4 linked regions of the Alligator mississippiensis genome follow. Each later gene encodes a partner of the first gene's protein in a complex. Links are inferred from orthologs where the notes say so. Each region holds a gene or a part of one and is shown in the gene's direction. Other genes may lie near its edges.

Region 1 (7,943 bases):
ATGTGATGCTGTAGCTGGCAGAGCTAACCAAATGCTGGCATGCATCTACTGTGGCATCTTGAGCAAGGCAAAGGATGTTATCCTCCCACTCTACTTGGCCATGGTGAGACCACAACTGGAGAACTGTGTCCAGTTCTGATGCCACACTTCAAGAAGGATGTGGAGAAGCTTGAGAGAGTCCAGAGAATGGCCGCATGCATGACTAGAGGCCTGGAGAACAAGACGTATGAGAAGAGGCTGAGGGACTTGGGATTGTTCAGCTTGAAGAAGAGAAGACTCAGAGGGGACTGGTTGCAGCCTATAAGTATATCAGGGGCATACATCAGGGTTTGGGGGAGCATCTATTCACCAAGGCTCCTCAGGGAAGGACAAGAAATAATGGGCATAAACTGATTGAAGAGTGCTGCAGGCTCAACATAAGGAAAAACTTCTTTACAACCTGAGCATCCAGGGTTTGGAACAGGCTCCCCCCAGAAGTGGTAGTCATCCACCATGGCAATCTTCAAAAAACGTCTTGATGCCCACTTTCCTGTCCATGTGCAGGGAGGGTGGACCTGATGATCTGCAAGGTCCCTTTCAGCCCCTAGCAACTATGAAACTATGAAACTATAAGCATCTCTTAATGGGGGAGGCCACTGATAAACTCATTTCTTGGGGCAAATAAAAAGAAAAACAAGAAGGGGAGTGAGTTTATTGGTTAATAACAAGGGATCCAGAAGGGGACACCAAGCAGAGCACCCCAGCCAGTGCCCACTGCCCCCTTAATGAGTCAAGGAAGCCTGTGGATGCCAACCAGTTAAAATGCCAAGAGATGTGAGCAGAGGAGTGACAGGAAGACAGCCCCACACTCACTTAGGTTTCCCCCAGCCAGAGCCTTCTTCTTGGTCTTGTATATGGCCAGCTTGGCCAGAGCCAGGAGGAAGTTGACCAAGATATCCCAGAGCTTAGTGGGGCCATGGACACAGAGTGCATAACAAAAAATGCAGCCAGAACCTCAGCAGGAGGTTCTAAAGGAGGCGGAAGAGGGGCTGCAACCTGGCACACTCGAGGTAGGCATGTGCCCGGGTCTCCCTCTGCTGGCAAAAGGGGCAGGTGTCAGGGGTGTCTGTAAAGTGCACCAAATACATGGTGATGGCTCCATGGAGAAGCTGCCAACTGAGGTCCCCGGTGACTTACGGGATCAAGGTGGAATACAGACTTGTCCACTGAGGACCCTCAGCCCTGCCCGTGCCATCACCTAGAGTGTCCCACCACTTGTTGTCAGGGCAGGACATGAGGACACGACGATGGATTGAGCACAGCATGACCATGTAAAGCTGGCAGCAGTCAGTTGTTTGTACGTGGACTGGCTTGATATCCCCCAGACTGCTACAATAGTTGGGTGGTGGGTGTTGTGGACTCTGCTGAGGCAGTGCCCCAAAACTAGCTCCAGAGTGCTGGGGGATGGGGACTGCCCTCATACAGGACCTGTCAATACAGGTGAAGGCAGTGGGTGGTAGTGCAGCCTCTACCTCCTGGAATAAGCGAAAGGGAGCACAGAGTGTGGGTAGCTCTATGCACTGGGCCAGCGCAGAAGGATCTGCCCACCCCTGCCTAGCATAGTGCAGAAGGTAGAATTATAGAAAGTTAGGGTTGGAAGGGACCTCAGGTCATCTAGTCCAACACTCTGCTCAAGCGGGATCAGCCCCAACTAGATCATTCCAGCCAAAGCTTTGTCTAGCTGGGGTATGGGAACCCCCAAAGATGGAGTTTCCACCACTTCTCTGGGTAACCCATTCCAGTGTTTTACTACCCTCTTAGTGAGAAAATTCTTCCTAATATCTAACCTAAATGTCCCTTGCTGCAACCTGAGACTTGCTTCTTGTTCTGTCTTCTGCCACCCCTGAGAATAGTCTAGGTCCATCCTCTTTCAAACCCCACTTCAGGTAGTTGAAGACTGCTATTACGTCTCCTTCAGTCTCCTTCTCTAGATTAAATAAGCTCAGTTCCCCCAATCTTTCCTCATAAATCATGTCCCCCAGCCCTCTCACCATTTTTGTCACCCTCCACTGGACTCTCCAATTTGTCTGCATCCAGGAGAGCAGATTTAGGTTAGACATCAGGAAAAACTTCTTTACTGTCAGGATTGCCAGAAACTAGAATGAGCTTCCAAGGGAGGCGGTGCTCTCCCCTACCTTGGGGGTCTTTAAGAGGAGGCTAGACATGCACCTGGCTGGGGTCATCTGACCCCAGCACTCTTTTGTGCCCAGGGCAGGGGGTTGGACTCAATGACCTGCTAACATCCCTTCCGACCCAAACATATATGAATCCTTTCTGTAGTGGGGGGCCCAAAACTGAACACAGTACTCCAGATGTGGCCTCAGCCATGCTGAACAGAGGGGAATAATCATTTCCCTTGACCTACTGGCAATACACCTACCAGTGCAGCCCAGTATGCTGTTAGCCTTCTTGGCAATGAGGGCACACTGCTGACTCATATTCAGCTTATTGTCCACTGTAATCCCCAGGTCCTTTTCTGCAGAGCTGCTGCCCAACCAGGCAGCCCCCAGCCTATACTAGTGCACAGGATTGTTTCATCCTAAATGCAGGATTTTGCACTCGTCCTTGCTGAACCTCATGAGATTCCTTTTGGCTCAATCCTCCAATTTGTCTATTTCACTCTGAATCCTAGCCCTACCCTCTAGCATATCTACTACTCCCTGCAGCTTGATGACATCTGCAAATTTGCTGAGGGTGCACTCTATGCCATCTTCCAGGTCATTGACGAAGACATTGAACAAAACTGGCCCCACCCAAGGTCTCCAATATGAGTGATGTTGGCCAGGACCATCCTCCAGTGCACCCAGGGCACCTCTGTCACCAGCACCATCAGCTGTAGGTTTTTCAGCAGCGGCTCAGTGAGGAGGTCAATGGTCTGGGTGACTGTGTCTGGGGACCCAGATCAACAGCCTCCAGGCCCTAAGGAGGTACTGGGAGAAGTCTGGCAGCTATTCCAGGTCCTGCTTGGGGAGATCTCACAGGGAGAAGAGCTGTCAGTCACACCAGTACCCTCAGAGGTGGTGGAGGAAAACGCAGCTGATCAGGCACCACATTGCCTGGCTATTTGCACTGTACAGCAGCCTCCTCAAGGCCTGAATACAGGTGTGGACCTGGTTGCAGAGGCAGACCAGGCCATTCATGTCCTCCTGCATGGGGAGGCTCAGGATACCTCCAGAGAACCAGTGATGTCCCAGCCAGAAGAAACCTAGTACCTATCTCTGGAGACTGGCCAGGAGATCTGGGGGCATGGCCAGGGTGTTGAAACGATGCCAAAGAACGAACAGGACTAGCTGGTTGAGGATTAGTGTCCTCCCATGAAGGGAGAGACACTGTAACAGTCCTGCCCATGCCTGCAGCTGCTCAAACACCCTGACCTCCAGCTTGTGTCAGTTCTCCAGCTTGTGCCTCCAACTTGTGTCAGCTCTCCAGATGGAGCAGCGAGCCCACACTCTGTTGGATGTACTGCAGCGCAGGTGGGAGCAAGCTCACCTGCCACCTGTCACTCACTATCAGACCAGAGCTCTTGACCCAGTTGACCCAGACAGAGGCGGCAGCTGAGTAGGTGGATCTGCAGGTCTCCAGATGCACCAGGTCACCCGGGTCTTGGACGGTGAGGCTTATGTTGGTGGCATATGGTGACAGAACCACTCGCATGGCCAGCTCCTTGAGCACCAGCACTACCACCTGCTTGTGCAGGAGGCAGAGGAACAGCTCAAAGGAAATGACATAGAGCTGGGCTGGCAGTGGACAACCTTGATGCTCTCCCAGCTGTGGACTCTGTCAGTGTCCTATCGAGCCTGACCATACACTCTGTGAAGGCATACAGCACCTGGGGAAACTGCACGAAGTGGAGACCAGAGCCAAATGTCCTCAGCGTGCCTGTGAGGTATCTGTGATCCACCCTGTCAAACACCTTCTCCTGATCAAGGGAAAGGAGGACAAATGACAGGCTGTCCCTGCGAGCAAGCTCAAGGAGGTCTCACACCAGGTACTGGCTGTCGAAGATGGAGCACCCTGCAACCGTATATCTGGTTGAGGTGAATCACATCTGCCTGCACAGACTCAGGCACAGCAAGATGACTTTTGCTATGACCTTAGTCAGAAGAGGGGAGCGAGACTGGGTGCCAGTTCCTCAGGTCACAGGAGTCCCCCTTGTTGGACAGCAGCATCAGGGCAGCCCTCCTGCACGACAGGATGAAGACGGCAGTTCTTATGTTGTAAGTGGACAGAAACAAAGCCCCACTTCTGTTCTTCCTTTAGTTGCTAACACCAAGCTCCAGAAAGGGGCTGGATTTGGCATCCACATGGCATCGCCTACTGGGACCATTGCTGGGTCAGGTCAATACCTCAGCTCTTCACTCAGTTTGAAGAGGGAGAGGAGCAGCAGGATGATTAGTTTCCCAGTGCCAAGGATAAACCATCATGAAAACACAGTGAGGAATTAAAAAAAAAAAATCAAAGAAGGCAACAACCACACAGCAAAGGCCCTTCCAGGGGACGGGAGCCAGGAAGGCAGGTTTACCACCCCTGCTGCATACAGCAGCTGAGCCTGGGAACCAAAGTGACTGCTTGGGGACAGAAGAGAGGGACTCTCAGTCACTGCCACTGAAAGCTGCATGGACCTTCCCTGACCTCACTTCCCCTCCAGCCAACAGGACACAGAGCGATCACCACGGCTGAGACAACACCCTCTAACACCCCGCGGAACCTTCCTCCCCGGCCACCCGTGCAGAGCCTTTTGAACGTCGCACAAGCGGAAGTGGATGGGCGGGTTCTAAAGAAAAGCAACCCCGCGCTGTGACAGACACGAGCAAGCCCCAATTAGCAGCTGCGCTGGCGCAGAGGGACCCAATGGCGGCGCGGGGGGCGGGGCCGGGGCCGTGGCGCCGGCCGCCTAGGTAACGCGCAGGCCGCGTGGGAACCGCTGCTGCCGCTGCTGTCTCCGCCGTCGCCATGAAGATCGAGGAGGTGAAGAGCACGTCGAAGACGCAGCGCATCGCAGCGCACAGCCATGTCAAGGGGCTCGGCCTGGACGACAGCGGCGCCGCCAAGCCCGCGAGCGCCGGGCTCGTGGGGCAGGAGAACGCGCGCGAGGTCCGCGACCCCCGCCCCTCCCCCGCGGGATGCACCCTGCCCCTCCCCCACCCCGTGCGATGAACCCCTCCCTGTTCCTCCCCCGTGGGACGGACCCCCCCCCCCCGCCACACGTCCCCCCCCCCCGCTCCCCGCTGCCCCCAGGCAACATGGTGAGCTCTGGGGCAGCCCCCTCCTCTGCCCTGGCCTCAGTTTCCCTGTCCCTGCAATAACACCCGTGCTGCCTCTCTGCGTTCTACGCATTTGAAGGCACGTTTCTGACCGGCTGGTAACTACGGACATGTCTTCCTTTTTTCAGGCCTGCGGTGTGATAGTGGAATTGATCAAAAGCAAGAAGATGGCCGGCAGAGCCGTGCTGTTGGCAGGACCGCCCGGCACTGGCAAGGTATCGTTTTGCTTGGGGCCAAAAGGCTTCCCCGCCGCGACTGTTTCTGAGGCACCGTTTCACCAGGCAGCTTCCCCGGCAGTCATGTTGGACTGGAACCAGGGTGGCCTTTGCGGCTGATCACTGCTTGACATCACATCTCCCTGCGATACGTATTTTGGCAGAAACCAATAGTTCATCTAGGTATCAGCCGCATAACACTAATGCAGGAAAATGACGGTATCATAGTCTTATGAAGTCTGTTTTTTTTGGAGGAAGCCCCAGGATTGGGGTTTTAAAAGTATTAACTTTTTTTGCACTACTTAAGGTTTAAGCATTTTCATGAGAGATGGTAAAATGATTTCTCCGCACTATCCGGAGTTTTAAAATTCTTCGTGTTGGTGCTCTTAAGTTTCTTGGGTAAAAACCCGTGTGTGTGTGTGCGTGTGTATATGCACAGGTTTGTTTCTGCATGTAAGAAACAAGGGAGAAAAGCTTGAGGATTTTTATTTTTAAGAAGAATTAAGGGTTTCTGGTCTCTCCATCTCCCCGTCCATTTTCTCACTTGTTGGATTCCTATTTTGTTAGAGATTTGGGGCATTGAATTAGGTTTATCAGAAAGTAGAACTGGAAGGGACCTCATGAGGTTATCTAGTCCATCCCCCTGCTCAAGGGAAGATCATTTCCATGTAAACCATTCCAGTGTCCATCTAACCTGCTCGTGACAATTTCTAGGGACAGCAATGCCTCTCTCAGTGGCCTGTTTCCAATGCTTAACCATCCTCATAGTGAGGAAGCTGTTCCAAATCTCCAGCCTAAATTTCCTCCATGAGCTTTCAATGTTTAGAAAACATCTGGAGAGCCTTTCAGTTGCAGATCTTGAGAAGTGGAGTATTGCTATCCACCTTCTGACCATATTAAAGTAAGTAAGGATGATCATTCCCAACTCCCCTGCCCCTGTGCTCTAGCACAGAGAAGTATGCAAACGTCAGCAGGCATGGTTCATGGGGTGAATTGATTTACCCCCTACTTCAGTTTTAGAAAGGATGCTTGGTATTTTCCTCCACCTGTAAAAATGGAATGCTGTGAAGATTAAAATAGTATTTATTCTTAACTTTGTGGAGCAGTAATCTTTTTTTTCCATAAGTTCTTGTTACTTCTTCTGAAAATATATGTGTATGATCTTCAAATGTTTTGAATTTTTATAGACTGCTTTGGCGCTGGCTATTGCTCAAGAATTGGGAAGTAAGGTTCCCTTTTGTCCTATGGTTGGAAGCGAGGTCTACTCAACTGAGATAAAAAAGACAGAAGTCCTGATGGAAAACTTCAGAAGGGCGATTGGTAAGTACTTGTTAAAAACCATGAGGGAGGGTAAAGTGGCTGTTTGGCTTTTCCGAAAAGAAAGCAGAAAATACCAGCTCTTTGGAGCAGTCCTGTTGAGCAGGCCCCACTGTCATGTTCTGATTTTTATAATTCTCTTTTTAGCACTGTTGGACATTCTTACCAGCTTAGTTGAATCAGGATGCTTTTCTGATAATTCCACATCTCCCCACCTTAGTTATTCCAGCTGAGTCTTCTTTCACTCTTCTCTTTCCATGCCCTCCAGGATCTTTTCTCAATCTTGTAAGTGGCTGTTGAACAAACCTGGAAGAAACTTTCTTTACAGTCTTGGCACTGACCTAGGCTCTGCAGGAGGGTTTTGTAGAAAGGGAGATGCTCTTTTCTCTTTCCCTTTAATATTCTCAGTTCATGCTTGTCAAAAACTCAAACGTAAGCATCCCACACTTAGCCTGGCTTCTTATTCCAGATGAGCATAAGAGACTGGTCTAAGCCACAAAAATGAGTATTGGATTCAGTTAACTTCCTTTTCAGTTCTAGTATGCTTTTTCTACTTAAGATGTTCTGTTTCAATTTATCTGGAAGAACAAAGTTAAGTTGGCAGTACAGCCTCATTGAGTATCTAAAATCTTTTATGATTGCTGCTGACAGCTGATAAAAGTCCATCAGAAGTGGTCCGTGCATGCACATGGATTGTACGGAGATAGCCTAATTGTTTTTAGTATTGAACACATTACCAGTTAACTTTCCTGTTTTCGTATCATGATTTGCTATGGACTTCAACTAGGTATCTAGTGGTGGGAAGGTGAAGACATCTCTCTCTCTTTCTCTCCCCCTGTCTACCTGTATGCAGCAACCAAACAAAAGTGACCTATTGATTTCTGTAAGAAAGCGACTTTCTATAGTGTGCAGTGTTAAAGTTACTGTTAAGTTGCTAGGGCTTGGGGGAGGGGAGTTAGGGACAGAGAGAGAGCAGTCTGCAGTATTTCCTTGACGTGATGAAGTTCCCTGTCAGAGACTTGGAAATTTGAACCAGCAAATGAAATCTGTGTCATCCACGTTGTCATTCCATAGAGATAGCAATAATTTAACTCTCTAGTTAACAGCC
Region 2 (6,810 bases), on another chromosome or scaffold:
CAGCACTGAGGGCTCCTTGTGCCCAGGAAGAGGCTTCCAAGCCTGGTACTGTGCCCTGGATGCAGCCCAGGGGCTCTGTCCTGTGGAGAAAGGGGGAGGGGGGGGAGGTGGGTTCCAGGCTGAGGCCCACCAGTGTGGCTGCTTCACTACCTCCAGGGTGTGGGATGCTGCCCACTGGCACTGAGGCCCCATCTGGCTGGCAGCACGGTGCAGGAGCTGTGCTGCTGGGTGCTTGCATTGGGGGTGGCTGCGTTCCCCTGAAGTCGGGCAGAGAGAGGGCAGGGCAAGGTGGAGGCAGCTGTCATGGGGAACAACCGACTTGGCCTAGGAATGGGCCAGGCCCGGAGCACCTGACAAAGTAGGTTGTTGTTGCCTTTGAAAGCTCCTGCCTCTGACCTGGTCTGACTCTTGGGTCTCTTGCTGGTGGTGGCTCTGGCCTGGGGAGCTGGGCTTGCTGCTTGCACACAGCTGTGCCAGCAGAGCCCTCCTATAACAAACAGCCCCAACTCTGGGCAACCTGCAAGGTGGTGATGATTGCTTTGCTCCCCGCAACCCCTGCCCAGCTCCACTGTGCTGCATAACAGGAGCTTTGTTCTCATCATCCCAACCCAGGTGGGGCTGAGCTCTCCAAATCTGCACTCAGGCCAAGCCAAGCTGGCCCTCCCTGGGGGCCTCAGACATAGTTTTAGGACTGGCTCAGACCCATTTTACAGATGAGGAAAGTAATTCCCCTGCATGTGAGCTTGGGTTGCATTTGAGCAAAGCCTTTAGGCCCAGGCTGGTGCAGCTGCTGCCTTGAGTCCTCCAACCCCCTCCCAGTAGGATGTTCCTGTTCCTCTGCTGCAGGCAGCATCTGAGCCATGGCTTTTACTGGCCAAGTGCCATGGTCCCTTTTACATGTGGAACAATTCACGTGCCAGCCCCTTCCCTGGCCAGGGAGTGCTGCCCTGGAGCTTGCACCATAAGACATGGCCAGGCTACAGCGCAGAGAAGAAAAGCTCACACCCATCCTGGACAGCTGCTCTGCTGGGACTTGAAGCAGGACCTGCCTGGTGCTCATGTGAAGGGGGGGGGGGTGAGCTGAGCCCTCCATGCCTGGAGAACTACACGTGCTTGATGGCAACTGTCCTGAGGCCTGCACCGCAACCAGGCGAGTGGCGCAGTCAGCAGCCAGAGCAGCCATTTCCTCACTCTTCGCATTTATTTTGTGGCTGTGAGGGGAAGGCAGCTCACCTAGGCCTAGTCTTGCGCCTGGGCCCTGTGCAAGGGCCATCCTGGCTGCTGGGGCAGCCACACTTGCTCCCTGCTCGGGGCAGGCTGAGGCAGCTATATGGCTGTCCTTTGCTGGAGCCTGGTGCCTGTTGGCAGTGGGAAAGGGGGGTGCAAGCCAGCTAGGCCCCCCCTAACTCCCTAGTTACTCCACCGAGGGAAACCTGATGGGCACAACCCACTCATGAACTAGCTAGTGATAGGTGGGGGCTCCTCCTGCTTCTCCTCTGTGCTGTCTCCAGGCTGGCAGGGGTCCGCCTCAGTTTCGACAGCCTCGTGGAGCAGCGGGGCCTTCTTCAGGATGCCGACACTGCCGTAGAGTTCGGGCCGGCGGTGAGCCCAGAGGGGCATCTCCTGGCGCAGGCGGTGCAGGTAGGGAAGGTCGATCTCGGCGTAGCACAGCCCTGGCCCCTCCTGGCACTGGGCAATGACACGGCCCCAGGGGTCCACCACCATGGTGTGGCCGTAGGATGAGCGATGCTCGTTGTGCTTCCCTGTCTGCGCTGCTGCAACCACGTAGCACTGGGTCTCTATGGCGCGGGCCCGGAGCAGCACCTGCAAGGGGCAGGGCTGGCCTGAGCCGCGGCGGGACTCCAGAGGGCCTGAAAACCAAGCGAGGGCACCTCTCCCCAGGCCAGGGAGGGGCTGTCAGCACTGGGAAACCCTCCCAGACCTGCCCACACAGTTGGGTGCTCCTTGGTGCCAGCCAGCCTGGGACAGCAGCATGCCTAGAGCCATGGGGAATGCCCCTGACCAGGCCCCAGAACTTGTTCTGCAGCCTCCTCCTCCAGGGCTGGGACTTTGCACCCAGACAAAGGGCATCTCCTCTGCTCTTGGGACTCGTGTTCCAATGAAAGCTGCGGAGAAACCAGCTCTGGAGCTGTTCCACATTTCCAAGCAGTAATGTAGTTGTCTGGATGTTGTTATGGCATGATTGTTCCTTTGCATGTGTGGCCTGCCTTAAGTTTATGGCATGATTCACCAGTTACCTGCATTATGTAATGTACGGCAGGGGCCTTGACGAGCTGCTACTGCCCCAAGGGGGAAGGGAAGCAGGGACTGCAGGATGGCTGATGTGGAGCTCTCAGCGCTGCAGCCCAGGACCTGCCATTGGGTGCAAACTGTGTGGGGAGTCCCTGGCCGGCACCAGTGCAGCCTGGCAGGGGTGCGGGTCTCACCTCCCAGTGGGCAGGCCCCGTGGTCTCGGTGAAGGCTGACGGGAAGGTGAGGATCTCGGCTCCCTCCCGGGCCAGTGCCAGGGAGATTTCAGGGAAGCGCAGATCGTAGCAGATGGCGAGGCCAACCTGGGGCAGGGGGGCAAGAAGATATCCCCACATGATGCAGAACAAGCCCCCAGCAACCCCATGGGGAGCCCAGCCCTGTGTCTGATGAGTCTGGGCCAGCCCTGGGTCCCCTCCCTGTAAGATGCTCAGCCCTGGGGCACTTGGGGAGGGAGGATGGGGTTTATGGTGGGGGCTGCTTGGGGTAAGAAGCTTTGGCCGGGGCAAAGTGGGGCCAGCCCAGCTCCCAGGCATGCAGCAGGTGCAAGGGAAAGGGATGAGATGGCCCCATAGGGAAACCTACTGCTGGTTGCGTGGGGTGAGGAGCACCCTAGCACCTGGCATGATTGGCCCTGGGGTCCCAGCCCCCCCCCCGTCCTTGGGGACTGAGCCCCTGGAGCAGCAGGGTGGGGGAGCCCCGTCGGGGCTCTGAGCTGCTGTCCTGAGCCCACGTGCCCAGCCTGGGCAGAAGCAGGGCTCCGCGGCGCGGGGCTGACGCTGCTCTTGGCCGCGCTCGGGCTGAAGCCGGGTCCCAGCTCCGCCGCTCGGGCTCCCCCTGCTCGGCCGTACCTTGCCCACGGACGTGCTGACCGGGGGCGCGATGTCGGAGCCCGGGTGGGTGTAGCTGCTCTCCTGCAGCGAGACGCGCCCCGCCAGCTCCACGTCGAAGAGGTGGATCTTCCTGTAGGCGGCCGCCATGGAGCCTGCAACGAGACGGGGGTCGAGGGGAGCCCGGGCGGGGGGGGCAGGGAGCGGAAAGCAGAGCGGTGGATGGGGGGGAGCAGACAGCAGAGCGGGGGTGGGGGGTGTCACAGACCGTCGGGCCCGATGAGCAGGTGGCAGTTGTAGGCGCGCCCCGCGCTGTCGCTGTGGCCGTGGCCGTGGCCCGGGCGGAGCTCGCGGAAGCCGCCGAGGGAGAGCCAGACGCGGCAGGCGCGGGCGAGGCGGGCGCAGCGCCGCACCAGGGCCCCGCGCAGCGGCTCGGCCGGGCCGGGCTGCCCGGGCGGCCCCAGCGCGGCGAAGGCCTCGGGCAGGCAGACGAGCCCCGCGCCGCGCGCCGCCGCCTCCCGCACCAGGCGCTCGCAGGCCGCCGCGTTACGCTCCGCGTCGTCCGTGGCCGTCAGCTGCACCGCCGCCACCAGCCTGCGCGGCCCGGGCCCGGGGGCCGCCATGGAGCCGGCGCCGCGCCGGGGGGGCCGCAGCAGCTCGCGGGACGCGGCCGGGGCCAGGCCCCAGCGACCTCCGGGCACCGGCGGCCGCGCCTGCTGCGGGCGCCCGCGACAAAGATGGCGCCCTAGGGGGGGCTTCAGCGCGACGCGCCCCTCACAAACATGGCGCCCCAGGGAGGGTTGCAAATAAACTCTCTTCAGGAGAAAGTAGCGCGACGTGCCCCCAACAAACATGGCGCCTGGGGGAGGGGCTTCAAGTTGGCTCAGGAACAGGCCGCGCGATGTGCCCCCAACAAGCATGGCGCCTGACGGGGATTTCGGTAGGCGTTGCTCCTGCGAAGACGGCGCGACGTGCCCCCAACAAAGATGGCGTCTGAAGGGGGTTGGGCACTTCGAGTAAATTCCAGAGAAAATAACGCGACGTGCCCCCAGCAAACATGGCGCCTGAGGGGGGATTTCGGTCGGCTTCGTTCCTGGGGGAAAACAATACAATGTGCCCCCAAGAAAGATGGCGACAGAGGAGCCGGGGGTGGGGCTTCAGTAAACTGTTCTCCGGGGGGGCGGTGCGATGCGTCCTCAACGAAGATGGCGCCTCAGGGGGCTGGGATTCAGAAACTCGGGAAAGCCGGCGCGATGTGCCCTTAACAAAGATGGTGTCTTTTTGGTTGTTCGTTTGTTTGTGTGTTTCCGGCGGGACGGCTCACGCCCCGGAAGTGGGAGCAGTGTAGCGCATGCGCAGAACGGGCGAGGAAATGGCGGATAGCGGGAAGGCTCGGCCTGGCCCGGCGTCTCCTGCTGCTGGCAAAACCTTGACGGCGGAGCAGGTGCCGGGCGGGGCGGGCAGAGCCACCGCACACGGCAGGGGGGCGGAGCTGGGCGCGTGCGGGGCAGGGTGTCGCACCCACGCGTAGGGCAGAGCGAGCACGTGCCGGACTGGACCGCTGTCGCTATGTGGGGTGCAGCGCTGGGTGGGACCACTGTTCGCATTGCGGGGGAGGGGACAGCGGGACCACTGTCCCAATGGGGGAGGGGGGGGCAGCACCGGGCGGGACCATTGTCCCTATGCGGGGGCAGCGCCGGGCCGGACCACAGTCCCTAATGGGGGGGAGGAGGCAGCGCCGGGCTGGACCACAGCCCATGTTGGGCGGGGGGGCAGCGCCGGGGGGGGACCACAGTCCGTATTGGGGGGGCAGCGCCGGGTGGGACCACAGTCCGTATTGGGGGGGCAGCGCCGGGTGGGACCACAGTCCGTATGGGGGGGGGGCAGCGCCGGGTGGGACCACAGTCCGTATGGGGGGGGGGCAGCGCCGGGTGGGACCACAGTCCGTATTGGGGGGGCAGCGCCGGGTGGGACCACAGTCCGTATGGGGGGGGGCAGCGCCGGGTGGGACCACAGTCCGTATGGGGGGGGGCAGCGCCGGGTGGGACCACAGTCCGTATGGGGGGGGGGCAGCGCCGCGTGGGACCACAGTCCGTATGGGGGGGGGGGCAGCGCCGGGTGGGACCACAGTCCGTATGGGGGGGGGGCAGCGCCGGGTGGGACCACAGTCCGTATGGGGGGGGGCAGCGCCAGGCGGGAGCACTGTCCAGCTGGGCGGGGGCGGCAGTGGGGCCGGCAGTGCCCCGGTGACATGTCCCCCCGCAGGTGGTGGCCGGCTTCAACCGGCTGCGACAGGAGCAGCGGGGCCTGGCCTCCAAGGCGGCGGAGCTGGAGATGGAGCTGAACGAGCACAGGTGGGCGCGGGGGGCGAGCGGGGTGTCCTTGGTGGCACGCAGGGCCGGGGGGCGCGTCACAGCCGCGGGACCTCACCCCCCGCACCCCCCTGTCCCGGCAGCCTGGTGATCGAGACGCTGCGCGAGGTGGACCCCACGCGGCGGTGCTACCGCATGGTGGGCGGCGTGCTGGTGGAGCGCACCGTCAAGGAGGTGCTGCCCGCGCTGGAGAGCAACAAGGAGCAGGTGGGAGACGCCGCCAGCCTCGCCGCGCTGGCACGGGGGGCAGGGGCTCACGGCTGGGCGGAGCCGGGATCCCCAGGGCTCGGCCCACGCACGTGGCCCCTCGCCGCCCTGCCCGATGCGCCAGGCAGGTCCTCGCCTCCCCCACGGCGCGTGTATCGTGCCCACGGCAGCCCCCAGCCGGCACGTCCTGATCCCCCGGGCTCTGCGTCGGGCCGTGCTGGGTCCTGCCACGTGCCCCCGCCCCGACTCCTCATCCTCCTCTCTCCGCCCGGCAGATCAACAAGATCATCGAGACGCTGAACCAGCAGCTGCAGACGAAGGGCCGGGAGCTGAACGAGTTCCGGGAGAAGCACAACATCCGCCTCATGGGCGAGGACGACCAGAAGCAGCCGCCGAAGGACAGCGCGGAGGGCAGTGGGCCCAAGGCCAGCTCTGCCGGCGTCCTGGTCTCCTAGGCGGCTCGCCCCATGCCCTGCCCCCTTCCCCAAGGACTGTCCACCCCCTTCCGGGGCCCTGGTTCTCTCCGCCCCCACCCAGCTTAACTTTATTACTTTGGCGTCTCATGTTGTATTTTTGTTAAATAAATTTGTTTTTGGTCGTGAGCTCAGTGCACAAGTGGTGGAAGGGGGGCTGGGGGTGTAGTTGGGGCAGGAGCTCGTCTGCCCCAGAGGGGACCCCTAGGTCCCCTCTGGTTCAATGCCAGCATAAGCCCTATGCGCACAGGGGCCCACGTCCTCATGGAAGGGAGGGCCCGGCTTGTCCGTCCGTCCATCCCGCAGGAGGGATTCAGGGTTCATCTCCTCCAGGGACTCTAGAGGCTCGGCTGGGCAAGGCCAAGCAGGAGAGGCCCCAGGCCTCGAAGCCAAGCGTGGAGAACGGCATTGCCGTCGGCCTCCCCACCATCACCGTGCCACGGAGAGGGGCAGTGAGGCGGGCACCGGGTGGTACCCCACAGAGGACAGAAAGGGGACAGATCCTGTTACACGGGGCCCTTTTATTTCCCATGCACCATGCCTGAGCCAAGGGCAGGCTGCACAGCTTGCAAGAGGAAGGCGGGTTGTCTGGGCCACACAGAGGATGCTGAGGAGATGGTGAGCGCTCTCTGCTCACTCGGGGACGTCCAGGACACAGAC
Region 3 (7,489 bases), on another chromosome or scaffold:
CATTGAAATAACCCATACATTGAAATGGTGGGGCATAAAACAAAACCCTGAGGACTAAACGGTTTCAATTTGCCATCACATTACGGCACCTTTTTTTCTTGGAGCCAGAGCCTGCCTGCAGAGGGGAGGCAAGCTGGTAGCGGGCTGAGTGGTCCCTGAGCTGCAGGGGGGGGCACCCTGGTCCTTCCCTCCATGGTGGCAGCACCCCCCAGGGCTGCCTGGGCAGGCTGCTAGCAGGCCTGGTGCTGCCCCAGCTCGGAGGCAGCACCTGGCCTGGTCCAACTGTTCCCTGAGCCTGCCCAGGAAGCAGCGACCGGTGGGCTTCTAGCTTGGGGAACCGTTGAATTGGGCTGGGTGCTGCCTCTGAGTTGGGGCAGCACCCAGCCCACCTGGGAGGCCCCGGAGGGCACTGCTGCTGTAGAGGGAAGGACCAGGCCCCCTTGCAGCTCGGGGGCTGCTCAGCCTGCTGACAGCTTGCCCCCCAGCCATGGGCAGGCCCCAACGTTTCTCCCTTCAGCAGGCATCTACTGAAGGGAGAAACGGTGAGGAGCCTGATCCTTTTTTTCAGTGGAGCCTGCCTACCTCTTCCATGGCCCGGGGCAAGCTGCTGACACAGCGGTGGCCCAGGTGGTCACCCATTCTCCCCAAAGCTCAGGGGCTACTTAGCCCACTGGCAGCTCCTCTGGGGGAAAAAAAAAAAAAGGATCAGGCCCCTCGCCGCTTCTATCTTCAGTAGGTGCCTGCTGAAGGAAGAAGCAGCAAGGGGCCCAATCCTTTTTTCCTGCAGAGGCTGCCTGCAGCCAGTGACCGAGCTAACAGCTGCATCACTGCAATTTGCAAAGCTGCAAACTAAATTACATCTGGACAAAGTTTAGGTTGCAATGATACAGTCATTTAAACCCCCCAAACGTCTTGCATGTGTACACCGTGATGCTATTAAGCCACACAAAGTAACATTTTCGTCATGTGTACGTGTTAATGTCATCACATGTAGAAGCACCCTAGGAGCCAGTACTTAATTCCTCTCACAGGGGAGCACCCTGGTTGAGAATCCACATCACCCTGGTTGAGAATTACTAACCAGTACTGTCAGTGCCTCACAAATTTTTGACTCACTTTCCAAGTGACCCATATTTCACAATTGAAATCTAGGTCCTCTGAGTGCTGCACAGACATAGTCACTGGGAGACTTTCTATTTCAGATGGCTATGGTATGAGTAACAAATGCATCATTTCTCAATTTTAGCAAGAAAAAGCAAATGAGAACTTAGTGCCAGAGGTTCCTGGTCCTTCTGCTAAAGAACCTCTTGAAAAAGATACCAGTAATTTAATTTTCTGAATAGCAGGAAAACTATAGTATTACAATGATTTTTGAGCCATACAAAAATACCATACCATACAGAAAAGCCACAAGCTCCTGAGACCAGTGTTCTTAACTTTTTTAGACTCAAGGAACCCCTTGAAAATGTCTGCAGTTACTTAGTTCTCACTCAGTCCTTCCCTACCAAAAAATAACCTATTATTTATTGCTCTTTCTGCTGCAAAGAACCTGGAAAAACCACAACAGGTCAGAATGTTTTTAACACTCTGGTTTGCCATTTGAAATCTCTGGGTTTATCTTGTGAAGCATGTTTGCAAACCTAACAGTGGTAACATTATGTGGCCATGACACCTGTGAAAGGATCTCAAGGCACCCCAGGGTGCCTCAACATCCTAGTTGTGAATCCCTCATGAGGGCAGTTGTGGAGGTAAGGATTTTAAAATAGGTATTAGTTCAAAAATACAAAAAAACTCTCTTTCAATTCACATATTATACTGCTTTTATTTCTACTGTTTCTTAGCTAAAAACAAGCAGTATAGCACACTGAGATTAAATACTTTTTCCTACATGGTAAATTTTTGGCACAGATGTTTGTTTATTGCTACTTTTTAATTTGCTTTAGGTTGTGAATAACAAAGTAGGAAAAGTAAGATGAGCAGTGTATCCTCTTTGTATGATAATTAAATTAAGAAATTGTGAATTTATAAGGAAGCAGCTAGAGAGGGATCTACTTTTTGCCATTGTTAGGAGACAAAGTACTAAGAAAGATTGCTTAAGATATTCGGACTCTCTTTATAGTAATAATCACTACCAAAATGACTGCTCTCTTTCTATACTCTTACTGATCCTCAAACAGCAACCTATTTTGATTCTGCCGTAACTGAATCATAGAAAATTTGGGTTGGAAGGGACCTCAGGAGGTCATCTAGTTCAACCCCCTGCTCACAGCAGGACCATTCCCAACTAGATCATCCCAGCCAAGGCTTTGTCTAGCTGGATCTTAAAAACCTCCAAGGATGAAGGATGGAGAGTCCACAACCTCTCTGGGTAACCTGTCCCAGTGCTTCACCACCCTCCTCATGAAAAAGTTTTTCCTAATATCCAAACTAAACTTCCCTTGCTGCAACTTCAGATCATTGCTCCTTGTTCTGTCATCTGCCGCCACTGAGAACAGTTTAGCTCCATCCTCTCTGTAACTGCCCTTCAGATAGTTGAAGGCTGGTTGGTATTAAACTGCTGTCTCGGAACAGCTCTCCCCTAATTTCCCTGCCTGTAATTTGTTCAGAACAGAAATCCTGAATTTCAGAACTGTAGTCGCATCATTTTGGAATCTTATTTCGTCCAATATCACGGCTATCGTGAAAGTTATTTTTAAAAGGATAATAATATTCGGTAAATGTTTTTCAGTAACTTAAGAACCAAGACATTTTCTGCTTGGGGTGGAAGTTATTTTTCCTGAGATATAGCTGTTATTGGCAAAACACTAGAATTTGGGGCAAAAAAAATGTTTTAATTGACCCTGTGCGTACCTGCATGTTACAGGTTATAGCATGTTCTGCACTTCCTTGCGACTGCAAGGAACATGAGGACAATTCACATTTAAACCCAAAGAGCCAATCTTTCCACTGTGGCACGTTATTTACATTTTCTCTGCTTCCATTAATGGAATAAAAGAGTTGCATTTTATTAGCTCACCCTTTTACTTAGCTGCCAGGTATCTTGTTTGCAGCACAGTCTCACATCAGTGGACTTTGTTGAGATCATTCTATAAATTTTTAAATTTATATTGGTAACAGTATTGCACAGGTCCAAGTTAAAATTTAGAAGAAAAGCATTGAATACATTATAGCAGAGGCTTGCATACCAATAGGTCAGGCTGCAGCCTTACTAGCTTTGATGCCCGTACAAAGGGATTCACCTGCTTACAGCAAATTGTAGGGGTTATGTATTTCCACTTGAAAAAGGCTAACCAATTTTTTTTTCCCATTAGAAATATTGTCCAATTAAATAAACCTTCTTGTTCTAATAGTTCAAATAAAAGTCGAACTGTGTCAAAAGTTTTCAATATGTTCTCTTGAATAGAAAACCAGCACAAATATTCAAACATATTTAACAGTGAATTATAATCCCAGTTGTTAGATTCCTTATTTGGGACCTAGATAAACCAAATTACTTTGTTGTTCTGGAAAATCTTGGCTTTTTATGCAATTAAGAAAATATTTTTAGTTAATGAACACTTGCATTTAAAAGCTCAGGGTAAAAGCTATCATTTAATGCTGTACTAAAACTTAAATCAGGAAAGCACAAATTAATAGAATATTTTTCAGTTCACCTCCTTTATTTAAATATCGGTCAGAGAGAAGCGGGAGGCCGCACGCTTGTCTGAAATGAATGGTGACTACAGCTCGTGTTGTATTTCCACACACACTGAGTGACCCGCCCGCCCCACAGGTAAAACGAGACCTCTCCCAGGGATGCTGTGAAGCCCTCGGAGAGCCTCGGGAAGCCAGGCAGACCACAGCGCCGAGAGGGCTAGCGGAGGAGGCTCCAGACCTGCCTGGAAGACTCCTTTAAACCCAGCAGTAACATTTATTTTAATGCTTTGAATGTAATGCGTTATTACTGGAGGGATACGGTCAGGTTCATTTTCTTCCTCTCCCCCTGTCACAAATGGCGCATCGGCTTCTCAAGACGCTTCGCGGCTCACCTGTCCGCCAGGACACCCAGAGGTAAGAGCGGGACCGGGGACCCCGCCGCGGCCGGCCCGGGCGAGCAGCTGCCGCTGGAAGCCCCTGTCACTATCCCTGACCCTGGTGGGCCTGCGCCGGGGATGCCGCGGCTGTGGCGGGAGGGTCCCGGGTGCTGGCCGCGCGGGGCAGGGTCGGTGCAGCCCGACCCGCCTCGCCTCACATTTGTGGCCGCGGGGAGCGCGGGTGGCTGCGGCGGCGCCTCCCTGCCTTGCCCCGCGCTCAGGTGCGCGCGGCTCTGCCTCCCGGCGGCTGCGTGAGGGGCGCAGCGCCGCGGAGCCCCCGGGACACCCCGCCGGCTCGGCTCGGCTCGGGCCGGCCCGGCTCGTGCCCGCGCTCGGCGTGGCCGCGCGGCGCGCCCTCCTCCCCCGGGCGGCGCCGCGCCCGCGCCCTGCGCGATGCAGTGTGGGAATGGCCGTGGCGCTGGGGTTGGCTGAACGCGGCGGCCAGTCGAGGTTTCATGTCCGCCATGTTGGCCGTGGCGTATTGAGCGGAGCCGGAGCGGCGGCGGCGGAGGAGGAGACGAGCCAGCGCCCGGCCCAGCCGGCGCCGCCGGGCCCCGCGTCGGAGCGCGCCCCGCCCCGCCCCGCCGGGGGAGCCCCGTCCCTCCATGAGAGCGCTCGGCGGGGCCGGCTCCGCGCAGCAGCAGCAGCAGCAACAGCAGCGCCCCGCCGCGCCCGCGCCCCCCCGCCCCGCGCCAGCCGCCGCCATCGCCGCCCGACATGAGCAAACTGTCGTTCCGGGCCCGGGCGCTGGACGCGTCGAAGCCGCTGCCCGTCTTCCGCTGCGAGGACCTGCCCGACCTGGCCGAGTATGCCTCCATCAACCGCGCCGTGCCGCAGATGCCCACGGGCATGGAGAAGGAAGAGGAGTCGGTACGTGCTCCCCCCCACCCCGCGGCCGGGCCCCGCCATCCCTCCACCCTGCCTTCGCTGGGCCGGGCCCCCTCCTTCGCCTCTGCGCAAGCACAAAATGGCCGCCATCTTCTCCCCGCTCTCCCCGCCCGCGGGGCGCGGGGGAGGCAGGGCCCTGCCGCGGGGGGGGCAGCGCCGGCCGCTCGCCCCGTCCCCCGGGCCCGGCCGCGGCGGCCCCCGATCCCGCCCCGGCCGCGGCCGCCGGAGGGGCTCGCGCGGGCCCCGAAAGGCACAAAGGGGGTCACGTGACGCAGCGGGCGGCCGCCATTTTGTTGTCTGCGCTCCCTCCTCGGGCTGGGCCGGGCCGGGGCCGGGCTGCTGCCGCCGGGTGGCGCCGCCGAGCCGCGCGCGGGAGCAGGGCCCGAGATCCCACGTGGGGCAGCGGGCCCGGCCCGGCCCGGCCGCCCCTTGCGCCGCCGCCGCGTTACATAAGGGGTTGTGCCGCTCGCCGGCTTGGAGCTTCCTGGCGCAGCGCGGGGACGAGGTGCCGGCTGCCTCGCGCCGCGGCTCGACCGGAGCTTTCCACGTGTGAAGTGTGAAAGGGTCGTTGGCAACCCTCGGGATGGGGGGCGTGTTTGACTTTTCCCTGTGCGTTTGACAGCTCTTGTCGCTTTGGGTTCCCCCGGGACAGTGATTCCTCTCCTTCGCAGGAGGGGTTTGGGCCCCGACAAGGGGGTGCCTTCCTCCCCCACACGGGCAGCAGGACTGTGAACCCTGGAAGTGGCCCGTGGATTAGGGCTGCAGCTCACGCTTGCTACAAACTTCTGAATTTTAGTAGATTTTAAGTTGACAGGGCTGGTTTCAAGTGGTGGTCTGGGATGACGCTCTTGCTTGTGCTGCTGGCTCCTGATGCTCATTCAGTCCCTGTAAACTTGAAGGAAGTTCACCTTGGTTTTTAGGTGCCGCGTTCTGCACGCGCTGCTGTGCATTGACAGTTTCAAAAACTGACTGTGGACGTCTATGCAATGACTCTTAGTTTCTGAAAGAGCTGTGAAATGCCAGTTCTTTCTTATCTCTTCTTTGCTAGAATTATTTTCTCAAAGTTACAGTTTGAGGATTTATACTGTCGCATTTCCAGATCATATACAAACATTAATTATCGTTATTATCTCTTACTAAAACATCTTATCTTGAATGTAAGAAACATTTACTGAAAATGTTTGACACTGATGCTTCGTGGACGCTTCTTTTAGTAAAAGCCATTATTCAATTTTGCATTGAGTGGTTTTCACCGACTCAGATTAACTTTTGTGCATTAAGAATGGTTGGATACTGTGGGTGGCTTCAGTCATGTAGCTTTGCTTGAATCCAGATCTTCAGAATTTGATGGGTGAGGTAATCATCTTGATTTCCACTTGCATTAAAATTTAAGTAAAACAAGTTTTTATTATGATTACCATAGTAATTGGTCTGTCACATGTACTTTAATTGAAGTGTATATGATCAGTAAACTTTCATCTTTTGTCTGTCTTTTTTGCTGTAAGCTTAACAGATGTGAGCCTTTTGGGTAGAAAACTATTGTATTATGTTGTATTTAGGCTCAGGTGGGCTCACGCAAGGTTACCAGGTAGCCACTATCATAAACTTTACTGTTTGTAAAGAATCTGCTGCTATTTTAATTCTGATGTGATGAAGCATGGATTTTGCAAATAAGTTTGTTTTACACGTCTCTAAAATAAATGGCTAACTAGCAGTTTTAACAAAAATACCAATCTGTATGTGCTTCTGTTCTTAAAAGTGTTGTACTGAAGAAAGGTTACTTGTCACTGACAAATGCATCTGGTTAAACCCATTTAGAATTTCAGGGCCTTCTTAATAAATCAGTTGGTGTCCACTTTTTTTTCCTCTTCTTCCTGTTCCCTCCCTCTTAAAACTCTCTGCTACTTTTCTTTCCTGTGGTTATCTTTCTTTCAAAAAAACCCCAAACCATTTAGAGCATGCAGTCCCGGACTAGAGGCAAGACAATTCTGTGGACTGTTTCATTGTTTTTCCAAATTCCATAGGGGGGAATATCCACTTTATGTTGTGGAAAAGAGGGCATAAGTGAAATTGTGTGTATGTGCACATTTCTTCACCATTGACCACTGTGAACAATCACCTGTGGTGATATGCTAATAGTACTTTAACATCACTTCAAGTATGTGCTTTAATTTAAAAATCTGATTTTTTTTTTTTTTAAGAGTACCCTGTTTTCTGAAGGTGATTCATTTTTTTTTTTTTTTATTTTTTTTTTTTCTCCAGGGAAAGCAAAGAGACTTGATGTTCAAGCACTGCCTTTCAAGAACATTTAAATGCCCGTTTCATAGTTCTTGATGCACATTTCTCCGCTTACTTTTATCTGCCCCACCCCACCAAATAATTAGGGAAAGTAGGACTAATTTTATTAATAGCATGCGACTCTAGCAAAATGTTCTGAATGCATGGAGACAAAAATTACTAATCTTTCAGGATTAGTAATCAGGACCTGCATGCCTTTTTCCAGGTGTCTACAGCAGCTGTTCAAAAAG
Region 4 (6,950 bases), on another chromosome or scaffold:
ACTCACTTGGACTGCTGGTTCTGGCGCAGGGCAGCAATGCAGCGGCCTAGCGTGTGCAGAGAGGTGTTGATGTTGTTTGCCTCCTTCATTCGGTCCCCGCTCTTCTGGTCCTTGCAACGCTCTGAGCCAGCAAGGTCACACAGGGACAGTCTGGAAGAGACCCAGGGCACTGCTGTGATTACAGTCCATGTGTTGTCATGCACCCACTCGAGCCTCAGGACAGCTCAGCCATCTCTTCTAGGAGGTTTGTTTCAAACAACACTACCAAGCTCAGGTCAGGGGCCCAAGCTCACCCAGAAATTCCCTGTTGGGTGCTGCTTTCCAAGCACGGATCCAGCAAGTATGTCCAGCTTGCTGCATCCCAGACATGAGTGTTAAGCTGCTCAGCAGCAGCTGTCATGAGGGCCTCCTTGGACGCAGGGATGGGGTCAGTCAGCCATGCTCATGCTGATGCAGGATGTTTTTGTGCTTCCCAGAGCAGCTTTGTTGCTCTCTCCAAAGGGAGCAGTGGGACACATGCACAACAGCTGCTCTCCACCCCCGCAGTGAGTTCCACCTTCTGAAGGCCCCCAAAGATCCATAACAGCACCATGGCCTGGAGAGCTCATGCAATCTGAGAATCAGAGCCAGGCTAGCAGGGCCCTCAGGTGGTCACTGGTCCAACCCCCTCTTGCTCATGGCAGGATCATCCCCAAGCACTCACTCGCTGATTTTGGGGATCATCTCACTGCTGCCCCCTGTTAGGTGAAGAATCCGGATGGAGAAGATGCTGTGACTGCAGGGAGCAAGGACAAAAAAAAAAAAATACACTTGAATGGAACATGCAACGACCACCTCTGGCACCAGTCCAGCACCTAGTTCCATAAAATGAGCCCTCCCCGCCACAACCTGCTGGAGACCATTCCTCTCCTCTCCCTGCCCCCAACCTGCGGCTGGAGTTCTGGTTCAGGTGAGTGCTGGCAAAGCTCTGGTTTTTCTGACCCAGCTTCAGGAGCTTCCAGGCCTCGTCGGCATCTTGGACGTGGATCCAGTTCAGATCTGAAAGAGCAGACAGGTGGGAAAGTGGTACAGATAGACGTGGTTTGCCTTCCCAGGCCCTGGCTACCTACCGCATCCTAGGCTTCACTGCTGCCAACAGCCAAGCTGAACTTCCCTGCATTGTTTGGGCCTCCTGAGGGATACCAGCCCAAGTTCAGCAGAAGGGAACTGCTGACTGTGTATAAAAATGCCCTAGGGCAGCGTTTCTCAACCCATGGGTCGAGACCCAAAAGTGGATCACAAGAATATCTCAAAAGGGTCACAAACAGACTTAAAAAATGGATTCTCCTTTTCCCACAAGAAAAATGCAGGAAATTGTGGCTTTTCCCTTGCAGAGTTTCAACCTATGAGGAGCTGTTTGGGTCTCTCCCACCATGCCCCACCCCCCTTCCGCCCCCCATAACCCACACACAGGGGGGCTGGGGCCTAGCAGGTCAAGAGTGAGAGGCACTGGGGCAGGACTGGCCGCTGATGTTCACAAATGGGTCCTGGTACAAAAAAGGTTGAGAGCTGCTGCCCTAGAGCAGTATCCCTCCCCCTACTACTGCTTGCTTTCCATGGGCGCTCCTGGCCACTCGACATTTCTCTTATCCACCCCAGGTTACTACTGTCTCCTGAAGGAGAGAGAATGATCCAGCAGGGTCCTTCCCCAGAGTGCTGCTGGGTCAGTTTCTACCTTTGACATAGGGATTGCCGCTCGGGTCTTCACACAGCCGCAGCGTCTGCCTCTTGCGGTTCGGGCCAGGCAGAGCCGGCTCTAGCAAGTCGTAGATCTGTTCGTTGTAAATCTCAAAAAAGGAGACCCATATGGAGAACTGCACGTCTCCCGAGGCATGGAGCGAGACACAGTCTGGATCAGCCCAGCGAGACCCTAGGTTTCAGAGGAGAATCAGAGGGGGTGGTAGGGATTGCAGCAGCCCCAGCAGATTGGAGGAGACAAGGGAGAGTTTCTACCCCTGCCCAAAGTGTGCTTCATCCCCTCCTACCCAGGACTTGCCCTTCCCCCGGCACAGTAGGGTCCCAGACATACTGTCCAGCTGGCTGCTCTCGGAGTGGTTGGCAAATTGGCTGGTAGACGAGAGGCCACCCACTCCACTGTCATAACTGCTGCTAGTGGCAGCCTGGAGCTGGGACTCGGTGTTGTGGCTCCTCTTCAGTGGAGTCAGCAGCTCCTAGGAAACAGGCAGAACGTGAGGCTGGTGCAGGGCACCCTCGTCCTTCCCCAGCGGACGGAGAAGAGCACTCACCTCCCGTAATCCCCCGTGCAGCAAGGCCAGCTTCTTGGTCTCTTCTTGTTGAACCTGCCGGCTGTCTAGCCAGGCCACCTCGCTGGAGAGCGAGGGCTTGAGATCCATGGCTCGGTAGAGCTGCTCTCCCACGCTATTGAAGATGAGTGCTAGGGAGCGGGGCAGAATCCCACCGTCCTTGCTGCTCCCTGGAGGAGAGGACAGCAGTGAGCAGAGCTCAGTCACAACACAGCAGCACTTCTTCCCTCCGAGGAGACCAGGTATGCCAACACCTGATGCCTCGCTCACCCTGGATGGTGTGAGTCTTCCCCGAGTTGGTGATGCCATAGGTATAAACCAGCCAGTTTTGCCCGTTCAGCACATCCTGCACCAGCTCCTTCATGGTCGCGTCAAAGAACGTCTTTTGTCCGACGTCTGGGCCGAAGATCTGCAAACATGATCACAGGGGCGTGCGCGGGACTTCCCTCTCCGGCCTGCTGCAGCCCTGCTCGTCCTGGACTGCCACCCACCTCCGACCCCACCCGAACCCCGGCAGAGCCGGCCCAGGCTGCTCCATCCACATAATCCTAGGAGCGCTAGACGTGCCCGGGGGCCAGCTGCGCCGGGCGCCGACCGGACAGACAGCAAGACGAGGGCTCCTGCTCCGCGAGCACGAGACAACGCGCAGCAGACGGACGCAGGGACGGGGCGGGGGAAGGGAGACACCAGGGGCTGGTGCGGGCGGCCCCGGTGCCGTCAGCGCAAAGCTGCGTGAACGGCAGGGCCGCCGTGCCGCGCCGCGCCCACGGGCACCCACCTACCTGCGTGAAGGTGAACCTGTGCGCCGCCTGGCCCACGCCGCGCTCCGTGCTGCGCATGGCGAAGGAGTCCGCGGGCGCCCGCAGGAGCAGCGTCTCCGGGCTCTCGATGCAGACGCAGCCCTGAGGAGTGCGGAGCCTCAGCCGGGGCGGGGGGCGGGGGGCGGGGGCCCTCCCCCCCCAAAGCCGCCGCCCCCGCCTCACCTGGTCCTCCCGCTTCTCCAGCTCGGCCGGCGTCAGAGGCCGGACCCGCAGGTGCACCCTCAGCCTGGCACCGTCCTCGGGGTCCGCCTGCGGAGAGCGGGGGTCACACACGGCCCCGGGTGAGGCCCGCGAGCGCCGCCCGGCCCCGGCCCCGCCCCCCTCACCTGCGGGCCGCCCGCCGCGGCGGGCCAGATGGCGGAGAAGTCGGAGAGCAGGTCCCGGCGCGCGGCCCGGCCCAGCTCGGCCGCCGTAGACTCGAGCACCGGGGACGACGCGGCCTCCTCGTCCGAGAACAGCGCGGGAGCGAGCGGCGACAGCGCGGCCTGCGCCATGGCGGGGCCTGCGAGAGAGAGCGGGCGGGAGGGCGGGCGGGTCGGTCGGCAACAGCCTCCTCGGCCCCCGGCCGGCCGGCCGGCCGTCCTTCAGGCTGCGCTGAGGCAGTGAAGCCGCCCCCTCCCCCCGGCCCGGGCCGGGCCACGCTGACCTCGGGGGCAGCAGCGGGTGCTGTGGTTTCAAACCGCGCGCTCCGAGCCGCCGGCCAATCAGCGCGCGCTCCGAGCCGCCGGCCAATCAGCGCGCGCTCCGAGCCGCCGGCCAGAGAGAGGCTGGGGGCGGGGCCGGGCAGCCTTCCCGGCAGCCCGCGCGCCGCTTCCCGGCGACCTTTGCGGTGGGCCCCGCCTCTGGCCCGGGCCTGGCGGCGAAGATGGCGGCGGGCACGGGCAGTGAGTGCCGTGGGGCCGGGGACGGGCCGGGGCGGCCCGGGGCGGAGCGGGGAGTTGGCGGGCGGGGCTGGGGGAGCCGAGGGGGGGCAGGCCCTGCCCGCCCGCCCCTGAGAGGCCCGTCCGTCCCCGCAGAGCACAAGCTGCTGAGCGCCGGCCCCACGGAGCCGTGGTCCGTCCGCGAGAAGCTGTGCCTGGCCTCCTCCGTCATGCGGAGCGGCGACCAGAACTGGTGAGAGCCGCGGCGCGGCGGGGGTTGGGCCGTCGTCGCGGTGGTGCCGGCTGCGGGGATGGGGACGGGGACGGAGCCGGGCTGCGGGACAAGCGAGGCGAGGGCCTGGCTTGTCGCTGCCGTTCAGCAGGACTTGAATCCTGGCTCTGTTTGCGCGGGCCGGTGCACGAGCCATCAGCCGTGCTCGGGCTGCGCTTGGGCGCTGGCCAGGCGGCGCCGCCGCGAGCAGGGAAGCTGTTCAGGCGTCGCAGCGGCGTCAGCTCGGCGGGAGCAGCCCGGTGTGGCTTGAGCGGGCGCTGGCGAGGGCAGGAGGCAGGGCTTCACCCGCTTCTCTCCCCCGCAGGGTGTCAGTCAGCAGGGCCATCAAGCCCTTTGCCGAGCCGGGCCGCCCACCTGACTGGTTCTCTCAGAAGGTAAGGGGGAGGCGGAGGCACTTCCCGCTGCCGGGGAGCTCTTGCTCAAGGGACTCCAGTTTCGGCCAAGTAGAGGGGTAGAAAAGTGGCCACTTAAAACGTTAAATAAGACTTTTAATTTAAACGTCAAACAGCTTTGCTTCGTTTTTCTCTAAAACTAAAATTTATATGAAAGCATATGTGAAAATAAAACAAAGTATATTGTTTTATGGTCTAAACTTGATATAATTTGATAAAAGGGTATTAGACAGAGCTAACACATTACACGCATGCTACCAAACTTCAAAGAAAGCAAAATTGCTAAATTTGTGGGAGACGAGTCTTTGGATAAATGCGATATCTCTCATCAGACCAACTCAAGTAGTTGGAAACATTCTTCTAAGCCAGCTTTTGGGCACAAACACCCTTTGTCAGGCTGAGGAAGCATCCGCAGATGGTCTGTGCTCTTCCTGGGTGGAGTGATATTGGATTTACCCAACGAGCCTTGACCTCCAGTGTCCTTAGACCAACGCGGCTAGGTCCAACACCCCTAAATTTGTGGAAGTCACTGTCTGAGCACCTGGCCTTGAGTCTATTGCAGCGCCAGCCAAACTGTTGCACAAGTCTTCTGCAGATGAAAAGAGGTGTTTTTTCTATTTCACTTATTCAGCTCATTCAGTGCGAATAGCTAAACGATATAAATGCAAAATGGGATTATAATTTATTATTTAAATCAAAGATTTTTGGTTGTTGATTTGAAATCATAGTTTAGATTTGTAATTTTAAGCATCATGTTGTATTCAACCTGTTCTATTACTAGCACTGATATTTTGGAGTATGACTGTTCAAAGATCAGGATCTTGGAAAACCAGGGGAGGACGTGTTAATTTGTGGGGCCACCTTTTTAATTTAATTTATTCTTTCCTAGTTTTTATTTGGCATTACAGAGCTGACTCTGTGGTGCTAGCTGACCCTCCTTATAGATGCATTGGGTACACAGCAGCTTGGGAAGTCACTGCAGCTTCCCATACTAGTACTGTGGCAGTATTTTCCTGCTACAGTACTAGTATGGGAAACATGAAAACATGCTCAAAGGCTACCTGGCTGTTAGAGGAGGGAACCCAAGAGCTTTGCCAATAAACTGAATTGGCTGTGTTGACTGTTCTGTGTGCTCTGACTCCCTCTGTTTCTCCTTAGCACTGCGCATCTCAGTATTCGGAACTCCTGGAGACCACAGAGACTCCCAAGTGAGTGCAAAGGCTGAGGCATGTGGTGTCTGCAGTACCTCTGGCGGGGCGGAGGTGTCATCAGTGCATCAGACAGTGCATTGGCTGCTACTGAGCAAGGAGGCGCAGGCACGGCAGAGAAATCTGGTCACACTGTGTGGGTGTGGAAAGTGAGCAGAGTAGGGCCGTTGTTTGAAATTACCCCCTAACCTAACAGGAGATGCTGGGTAGGTAATATTACCTAGAGCGTTTTGCTCATTTTTGTATGTTTTGTTACTTAGCTCAAAGGACTGGACCATTTCAAATGTAAGTGGTTCTAGAACTGGTCATTGTGCTATCCTGAGTGCTCATTCACACCACTCCTGTACTCATCCCTGAACCAGTGGGTTACAGGTATTGAGGCATCTAGGCTGCAGTTCCCAGCACAGCTCTCAGCTTGCTGGTTTGAGGAAGCTAGAGAGGCAACATAGTGTGTGGTAATTTCTATAAAAATGCTGCTTTTTTAAAAATAACTTACTTTTAAAAGGACATAGATTGCATACTAAAATAGCTTTGTTCTTTTTTATACAGCAGATCTTAAAATGAAACAAATTAAACTTATAAAACAAAAATTGTGTGCTTAAAATTACAGCTCAGAATACTGAAAATTTGGGAGAATAGAAGCTAGTAAGAATGATGAGCAGGAGAGCTAATATTTTATGTTGCCTTTTATGTACCTGCAGTATTTGAGGATTGTTTAGGGAGGGGCAAATGAAACCCTATTCTTCTCCTGGACACTAGCTTTGTACCAGTGAAAGCTGTAGTGTTCATCTCTTGCTCTGAATCTGGGCACTGGTGTTGGTAATTGATGCCTAAGGAAATTTGTAGTGTTTGAAAGTAGTATTTATGTCTCTGCTGTGCATAAATGACTGACATGGGCTTCTGAGATGGATTTATACGTAGGCATGGATAGTAAAAGTCTTTTTCCAAAGTTGAATTAACGAGGGTAAAAATTTGACAGGAATGCAAACACTCCTGGCCTAGGTTAGTAACCACACGTGTTTCGTATGAGTAGAGAAAGGCATTTGCTCTGTGAAAAAGTTAGTGTAGAATTGT

The links.
Region 2: RUVBL1 (region 1) and PFDN2 share a complex: the UniProt entries of both Homo sapiens proteins name them as parts of the PAQosome complex. The link is inferred for Alligator mississippiensis from reciprocal best matches to the Homo sapiens genes RUVBL1 and PFDN2.
Region 3: RUVBL1 (region 1) and EPC1 share a complex: the UniProt entries of both Homo sapiens proteins name them as parts of the nuA4-related complex. The link is inferred for Alligator mississippiensis from reciprocal best matches to the Homo sapiens genes RUVBL1 and EPC1.
Region 4: RUVBL1 (region 1) and BRD8 share a complex: the UniProt entries of both Homo sapiens proteins name them as parts of the nuA4-related complex. The link is inferred for Alligator mississippiensis from reciprocal best matches to the Homo sapiens genes RUVBL1 and BRD8.

The regions. Positions count from the first base shown.
Region 1 is NC_081835.1:19,184,463-19,192,405, reverse strand, and holds the start of RUVBL1 (ruvB-like 1), read left to right. Parts: upstream 1-4,912; 5' UTR 4,913-4,992; coding exon 4,993-5,133; intron 5,134-5,431; coding exon 5,432-5,518; intron 5,519-6,705; coding exon 6,706-6,838; intron 6,839-7,943. UniProt on the Homo sapiens protein: Possesses single-stranded DNA-stimulated ATPase and ATP-dependent DNA helicase (3' to 5') activity; hexamerization is thought to be critical for ATP hydrolysis and adjacent subunits in the ring-like structure contribute to the ATPase activity.
Region 2 is NC_081838.1:20,597,478-20,604,287, forward strand, and holds PFDN2 (prefoldin subunit 2), read left to right. Parts: upstream 1-4,432; 5' UTR 4,433-4,449; coding exon 4,450-4,542; intron 4,543-5,363; coding exon 5,364-5,452; intron 5,453-5,553; coding exon 5,554-5,677; intron 5,678-5,952; coding exon 5,953-6,132; 3' UTR 6,133-6,279; downstream 6,280-6,810. Other genes in the region: NIT1 (deaminated glutathione amidase), read right to left, coding at 1,459-1,824, 2,448-2,573, 3,120-3,253, 3,367-4,018; KLHDC9 (kelch domain-containing protein 9), read right to left, coding at 6,784-6,810. UniProt on the Homo sapiens protein: Binds specifically to cytosolic chaperonin (c-CPN) and transfers target proteins to it. Binds to nascent polypeptide chain and promotes folding in an environment in which there are many competing pathways for nonnative proteins.
Region 3 is NC_081828.1:193,084,962-193,092,450, reverse strand, and holds the start of EPC1 (enhancer of polycomb homolog 1), read left to right. Parts: upstream 1-4,464; 5' UTR 4,465-4,790; coding exon 4,791-4,943; intron 4,944-7,489. UniProt on the Homo sapiens protein: Component of the NuA4 histone acetyltransferase (HAT) complex, a multiprotein complex involved in transcriptional activation of select genes principally by acetylation of nucleosomal histones H4 and H2A.
Region 4 is NC_081832.1:79,523,595-79,530,544, reverse strand, and holds the start of BRD8 (bromodomain-containing protein 8), read left to right. Parts: upstream 1-3,920; 5' UTR 3,921-3,989; coding exon 3,990-4,008; intron 4,009-4,140; coding exon 4,141-4,237; intron 4,238-4,580; coding exon 4,581-4,650; intron 4,651-5,826; coding exon 5,827-5,876; intron 5,877-6,950. Other genes in the region: kinesin-like protein KIF20A, read right to left, coding at 7-150, 704-775, 927-1,038, 1,715-1,909, 2,069-2,210, 2,286-2,473, 2,574-2,712, 3,086-3,205 and 2 more. UniProt on the Homo sapiens protein: May act as a coactivator during transcriptional activation by hormone-activated nuclear receptors (NR). Isoform 2 stimulates transcriptional activation by AR/DHTR, ESR1/NR3A1, RXRA/NR2B1 and THRB/ERBA2.